Bombyx mori: one gene and its partner. The protein of the gene in region 1 interacts with the protein of each later gene in a pairwise test. Links are inferred from orthologs where the notes say so. Each region holds a gene or a part of one and is shown on either strand. Other genes may lie near its edges.

The links.
Region 2: the proteins of E3 ubiquitin-protein ligase Rnf220 (region 1) and zinc finger C4H2 domain-containing protein interact in a two-hybrid assay, tested with the Drosophila melanogaster proteins (2 studies listed by BioGRID). The link is inferred for Bombyx mori from reciprocal best matches to the Drosophila melanogaster genes RNF220 and CG13001.

Annotation. Positions count from the first base shown.
Region 1 is NC_085117.1:719,167-723,101, reverse strand, and holds the start of E3 ubiquitin-protein ligase Rnf220, read right to left. Parts: upstream 2,755-3,935; 5' UTR 2,495-2,754; coding exon 2,129-2,494; intron 452-2,128; coding exon 224-451; intron 124-223; coding exon 1-123.
Region 2 is NC_085129.1:15,695,888-15,699,722, reverse strand, and holds part of zinc finger C4H2 domain-containing protein, read left to right. Parts: intron 1-606; coding exon 607-778; intron 779-3,835.

The DNA of each region.
Region 1 (3,935 bases):
GGAAGCCCTACGGACACATGTGGCTGCCCTTGAATCCGCATCCTGCAGAGCCGTCGCTCTGACCCTCCACTCACCGCACCACTGGTATTCAGCACCAAACCCGCTGGCTGAAGGTTCGTCATTCTGTGAAGATATTTCAAGTTATATTTAAATCATACCCGTCAAAGCACACGATTGCTTGAAGCAGCCAAGATGCAACCAAGATGTAATTAATTATACTCACTTCTACGTCGATGCTGCCCTCCTCCGAGCTGGTATCAGGTATGTCTTCATCCATCTCTGCTCCTGTTCTCTTGAGGCACCTCAAGGCGTGCCTCTGTAGTTTGGAGGTTGGTAAGGTTGTATTGCAAACAGGACACTCTCCATTTTGTGGGGGAGGAGTGCTTCTCCGACGAGCCCGGAGACGGCGGAGGCGGTTCGCGTGTACTCGCTGCAGATAAATATTGAAATCCTACTAATGTTATAAATGGGAAAGCTTTTCAAGACGGATGAGGTTGTTTGTTATTCTTTAGGTTTTAACATACAATAATGATGGAATATTAACTTGATATCAGTTTGGTATCGGTCAAAATGGACAATTGTACTTGTCGTGGCGTGTAACCTACGACAGAATATACGATGACTGAACATAAACTAAGGAAAGACTTGACAGGTGTGATTCAAAAAAAATGGAAATGGACGAAAATAGACTGGCAGTAGGATTCTTTTCAATGCCTTCTTAAAATACATACACGAAATAGACAACAAACAAATGAGCCAATCCTTTTAGTACTATAATGAAACATGACCGCTGGACATGGCTTTTCTGTCTTCTAAAAAGTTCACTGACATCACCGTAAATTCCCATCATTTTAGTGTGTTATTAATTCACTTAAGCTCATTTCCCCAGGTATGTGGTGACTGGCATGATTTTCATGTAACCATTTAGCCCCAGGAGAGCTATGAAGTTGTTGTTGAATTTTGTATGTATTATTTATGTTCAAAAAAAACCTTGACATCTTTGCGAATGTACTCTCTACACTCTTATATCTGTATAGCTAACCGATTGTAAATATAACAGATATTGTCTGTGTTTACCTCCAGAACAATATTCAACTGAAGTAGGAGTGTGTGTGTTTATGATTTATTTCAGTTTATTATTGACATTTAGCAACCTTTTGAATGAGGAGCTTCAGAACAATTCTTTCAAGATATCTTGCACTTGTTCAAGTGATGTGTGCAGATAATGTGTACAATACAAGTTTAAATAAATAACTATCCTAAAGAGTTGTATGAAGTGCACAGAATTGCCATTTCTTTGAAACATCTCTTAATAATCAAGTAATTGAAATAAACTTGCATAATCGTACAAAAGTTTTAGACAACAAACTGTGGGCTGTCGATCTATCAAACTTATTCCACTTGCTACTCAGTTTTTTTTTTTTTATTGTCATGTTTTTTATTTATTTTATTGCTTTGATGGAAGGACTAGCTCACAGCCCACCTGGTGTTAATTGGTTACTAGAGCCTATAGACATCTACAACATAAATGCACCACCCACCTTGAGATATAAGTTCTAAGGTCTCAGTACAGTTACAATGGCTGCCTTCAAGCCGAAACGCATTATTGCTTCACGGCAGAAATAGGCAGGGTGGTGGTATCTAACGGCTCGGATCCACATGAGGTTCTACACCAGTAAAAAATATTATTGTATCTAATCTCTTCAAATATTAAGCATACTATACATATCAAGAACTTTTTGTTAATTTTACTTGCATGTTTGTTGTTTTCAAATAAATGCTATTTCAAACACTGAACCAAACAAGACTACAGTATCAAAAGAAATTGGCAGCATATATTTCAAAGGACAAAGGTGAAAAAACATTGATATATTATTATTGATAAGTTACAAGGTAACAAGATGTAAAACCTATACTTCTAAGTATCCAAATTAATATTACAAATGCGAAGGTCTGTTCTGTTTGTTTGCCTTTTTTATTGACGTGTACCTTTTTAAAAGTATTAGGTCAAAAGAACGACACAGGCTACCTTTAATACGGAAAAGACGTCTCGCCCTCACGATAAACTGCACTAAGCCTTTTCCTTGAGCGCGCAAATGAAACCACAAGTAACAACAATATTATTCACCTGGTAAACATCGCTGCCGGGACACCCTGTGACATCGATACCTTCATCAAGTTCAACGTTTGTACTGGATCCGGGAACAGCTGCATTAACATTGTTACTAACACTATTTACACTTAATTTCCTTTTCGAAGCACTGCCGGTGAGTTTGTTGAGCCTAGCTAATTCCAAATCTAAATGATGTTCCAATTCACCTTGACGCACGGTACAACTACACACCGGACAATTCGGTAATTCACTAACTTTTTTTCTACTTCTAACACTATTTAATATTACATTCTCGTCGTATATTTGCCCGTAATTAGTATTATGCTCATTCACGTTATTCGAACAGCCCTCCATGTTATTGTACATCAAAACTGGTAACATATTAGAAATTAATTTAAAATTTGTTTTGTTTTGAGTGTTTTATAAATCTGATTACATCGCGATTTTTGTGATTGATTAACGTTTTCTACCGTTTTAAAGATGTTAATGGGAGTTCGATTGTCATGTACGAACTCATCTTGCTGTAATTTATTTATTTATTTACGTAATAAACGCCGATAAATTGTTTCAAAACAATAGTTACAGTACAGAGTAGAGATCGTTTACACTTTTTTATTCCAATTTTTGATGTTTTAGATTTCTAGTGAAGTGATCAAGATTTACAGCCGGACAAATCGGAAGAATCGATTTCGTAAAAAAATATTTTTCGAACTAAAACATTTTGAAATTAAATAAAAAAAATTCTGTAATACACAATGATAATCAAAGTGATTAATTATTATTATTAGAGTGAATACGTATAAAACAGAAATGTAACCAATAAATATTCCATACAGCTTTGAATCGAAAACAAAATCGATTAAGTTCAACAGAGTTCCCATTAATAGTCAATGTTACATCAAACAATTCCAACTAATTTAAAGTTCATGAGGTGTAAAATTGTGTCATTCGCTTGAATCTCAACATACATTTGGTGAACACTATGAACTGTCGACTCTAAAATCGATTTTGCTTGTCGGCTATTAACATTATAACATAACATCAGTATTTACTTCAATTTTCACGAATTGTAAAATTAATTAAAACCGCTTTTACGGTTTAATCTTACGTTTTTGATCATTATTATACGCTTATTTTGCGACTTTTCTTATATACTTTACAGGTTTCGTGGCTAAGACATCAATTTAAATAGTAAAAAGAGTTTTGATTAAGATAAAAAAAATCGAATATGCGTTTAGTTTCACTATAATTTATTCATACAGTATAATTCTGGTTTCGGGTTGCTCTAAACACGTCATTTCGGATCCTCCCGATTCAATAACGGTGGTTTTAGGTGCTCCAAGTACCAGTCACCAGTTATCGTTCTCGTCGAACCCGTCGGCGTCGCTTGCGACGAAGGGCTCGGCAAGTAAATTAACTCACAGACACAGCCCATTGATGACTTTCTCGCCAGATCTTCTCAGTGGGTCGCGTTTCCAATCCGGTGGTAGATTCTGCGAAGCATTGCTTTTACTAGGGCCAGTTTTAGCAAGACTCCTGGTTTGAGCCCCGTGAGCTCACCTACTTGTTAAGGCTATCAGCGTAGGTAAGAAAAAAAATATAACATGTGTGCAATTCATACGTGTTAGAAGTGAAACCTTCAAAAATTAAAATACAATTATCCTAAATGTCTAAGTATATTAATAGTAAAATTTGTCATTAGTAAATAATTGTAAATCACCTTTTATAGTATGAGGTAGCGCCCTCTGTGAATTGATATTTTAACTTCACGTATTCTTAAATTAAAATTCACTACAAGAGATTTCATACACACGTTAGTATT
Region 2 (3,835 bases), on another chromosome or scaffold:
CAGCAGACTTATTGCCTCACAGAGTCTTCTGCTTCGTCATTACAAGGGCGTTGGGAAAAATTTTGGTACAAGGGTTCGATTTACAAAAAGTACCTCACTGGCGCACCGGACCGTCTCGTGCTCATCTTACAAAATTACTTGTCGAATCATTTGTTTCGGTATCAGACCGAGGGAACTCGTTTTCCTCCCAGGCCAAGCGCGGCTGGAAACTTGTAGATGTATTAGCGAAGTAGCTCCCCTTGAATTGATAGGCCACGCGGAGGCGCTCGGACAGCACTAGTCGCACCCGCCGTACCCGCCCTGAGAAGATTAAGCCGGAGCGGATCCGGGCTACCATTTATCCCCCGAAAGAATAGAACAAAAATATCAATTCTTAGCTACTTACCAAAATGCTTTACTTCGTTGGTTGTTAATGTTTTTTTTGTGTTACTCTTGTAGGCAGACGAGCATACGGCCCACGTGATGGTGAGTGGCTACCGTCGCCCATGGACTTCAGCAATGCCAAGGGCAGAGCCAAGCCGCTGCCTACCGCTTAATACTCAAATGTCAAAGTAACATAACAAAGTGCTGATTTTAATATCTTGAAACTGTACCTTTAAATTTCAGGAACAAAACTATAACCCTGGAGAGACTAAAGCGCAGCATCATGACGGAGGTGCGCAGCGGTGATCAAGAGGGGCGTTGTCTAGCTCAGTACAAACGCGAGATGGAGCTGCTGCAGCAGGAGAAGATGAGCCATGTGGAGGAACTTCGACAGATACATGCCGATATTAATGCAGTAAGCTATCTATATATTAATACGTGAAGCAAAAACTTTCTACCATTTCTTACGAAAATTGCGCGGACGGAGGAGTATGAAATTTCCCACACTTATAGAGAATAATAATATAGAGAAGGAGTGCACAATGGTATTTTTTTTATTTTATATTATGCATTAAAAATACTTTAAATCAATAAAGAAAACATTACACACACTACCATGTATTTGACACACACACACACATATACTCTTTGTTTATTGTCAAACTTTTGTTATTGCTTAAAGTCTGTAGTCAAATTGAGAATAGGTTAATATTCTTTATTTTTAATATTACAAGTATTTGTCAATAGTGTAGTCTTGGCGAAATCTGCGACTATAGAAATATAATAGTCCAAACTTATAATATTAATTAATTATAGTCGAATTTCGACTACTGCGGGAACACTAGTTTTAATTAATATTAGGTCTTTACTTATGAAGTTGCTGTTTAGTTCATAGAAAGTTAAAGTAATTTTTTTTTATAAATCTATTAATTAAAATAAGCACCCCTGGTATTGATATATTTGTCAGCGCAGTGGTAAATTTTCAACGGCCTTCTTGAAGAAGTCAGGTACGGAACAAATAAACCGTTCAAAGGGCTTTTGTACTGCTTCTAGGGTACTAAATTTTTTCCTTGCTAAAAAATTGTCTATACTTTGGATAAAGTAGAAGTCTGTCGACGCAAGGTCTGGCAAGTAAGGCGGATGACGCAAACCTTTCAAACCTAGCTTTTGTAGCTTAGATAACGTCTGTTGTGGCATATGAGGTTCAGTGTTGTCGTGTAAGGGCAGCGGGGACTAGCGATTAACTAAGGCCAGCTGAAGATTCTCTAGCTTCTCCATCATTGTGTCCAGTTCTTCACAGTTCACATTGGCAGTAATGCTAGTGCTATTTGTTGAGCTGTGATGAAATATACTAGCACTCGACCAAATATTGATGTACAGTGTCGGGGACAGAATCTCCCACGAGATGCCCGTACGGAGGTGGCCACAATAAGCGACTCCGCTACATTCCTCGCGCGACATCCGCGCCCCGCAAGGACAGCACCCACCTTAGATTTAATTCGGAATGTGTTTACCTTGCCAAACTACAAACTGCAACTTAAGCCGCTTATAAACTAGCTCCCTGCGACTATACTGGGATAGCCGATAATCTCCATAAGAAAAAGAGGATTTGCGGAGTCATCATTCCTAAAAAAGAATACTTTGTCCGGATTCATACAAGAATATTATATGATTTTGCGGATTCAATGAATATGCGCTAAAAAAACCTGGTATTGAAAACATGCTAGTAAAGAACAGTTCTAGGGCTGCCACACTCAATAATGGCGATGTTATATTTTTTTTTAATCGTCATGAGGTTGTGGCTCTTGCCACCATACAAACTTATTTGACTATGGCCTGAATCTCGCTTACGACATTTTCAAGATAAACTTGCATATATATACAAGTTCCGAACAACAACATACTGACCGTCGGTCTACCGAGCAATATCACCCGCTCGGTGGAAGATCTTCCCTTTGTCGTATAACTACGCGGCGTGATCGCAGACCGGCTTAACATGAGGGCGGAAGGTCATGGATGTATTCAGAATGACTTCGAGATATGAATGGCCTTCCTAGAACAGGGTATTTGAATGGCACGAGAAGATGACCGGGGGCCGATGTGACAGGGACTCGCATAGTATCCTCACTTTAAAGGAGCACGGCCATGTTTCCCGCAGGGCTCACTTCGAATAAATATGCTTCAAAGAGCAGAGTCGCGTTTTGGTTTTATTTTTAAACCGGCGGCCCTATATAAGAGTTGTTGTTTGTTTACATTGTCTACAGTTAAACTTTACTGGCAGAGAACATTCGTATCATGTCGATTGTGTTTATTTGAACGCGCCCGTTGTTGCAGGCCGCGCACGCGACTAGCTCATTGTCGTTTTAAATAGAAATTATTGTTTTTTGTTCGGATTCTGTTCTATTGGCCTAAGGTTAGAATGAATCAGTTAATGACGCATTTATTGAAACTAGAAAGCAGTATGGTCTGAATTCGGTCACTTCAAATATATATATACGTGAAGCAAAAACTTTGTACACCTTATAGAAAATATAGAGAAGGAGTGCAGAACGCTAATATATTTTTTTAATTATGTATAAAAATACATTAAATCAGCTTGAAAAACATTACACACACTCCCATATATTTGAAACACACACGCATATATACTCTTTGTTTATTGTCAAACTTTTGTTATTGTTTAGTCTGTGGTCTATTTGAGAATAGATTGAAATTTTTTGTCGTTAATATTATTTGTTAATAGTGTAGCCATGGCGAAATCTGTGATTACAGAAGTTTTATAGTCTTTGACAATAAAACCATAATAATGTTTAAGCTTATAATTGAAATTAAATATGGTCGTATTTAGACCACTGGGCGAACGCTCGTACAAAATTAATGGGTTTTATTTTTAGAGTATCAACTATTTTCACATAATGATGTAATAAATAAAATTAATGTTCTTCAGTTGGAAATTCGCGTTTGATCGAGGCTTCTTTAGAAATAACACAAACGGTGTACAAGACATCACACACCACTTGTATTCTTGTGACGGTAAATATTTAACATTAAAACAACAAACATCATGGAATAAGGGTAATTGGATAAAATTTCATATTACATACGAGTTCCGAACGACAACATAAGGGCCGCCGGCGTCCGAGCAATATCCCTCTCTCTCCCTCTCTCTCTCCCTGTTTCTCTCTCTCCCTCTCTCCCTCTCCCTCTCCCTGCTTCTCTCTCTCCCTCTCTCCCTCTATGGAAGTATTTCTTCTCGTACCGCACCGCAGCCTCCACCACATTATTTTGAGTCACTATCCCTCTCGGACCAGCGTTGTAGTTGACTAAATACGTAATATATGTTAAATCTGTAAATATGTTTCTCAAATATAATCGTTTAAAGTATTCGGTGGAGGCGAAGAGGTCAATCAGAAGCTGTGTGTTATAGAAGGTGTACAGCGAATGTGTAAAAAGTCGCCTTCATCCGCTACTA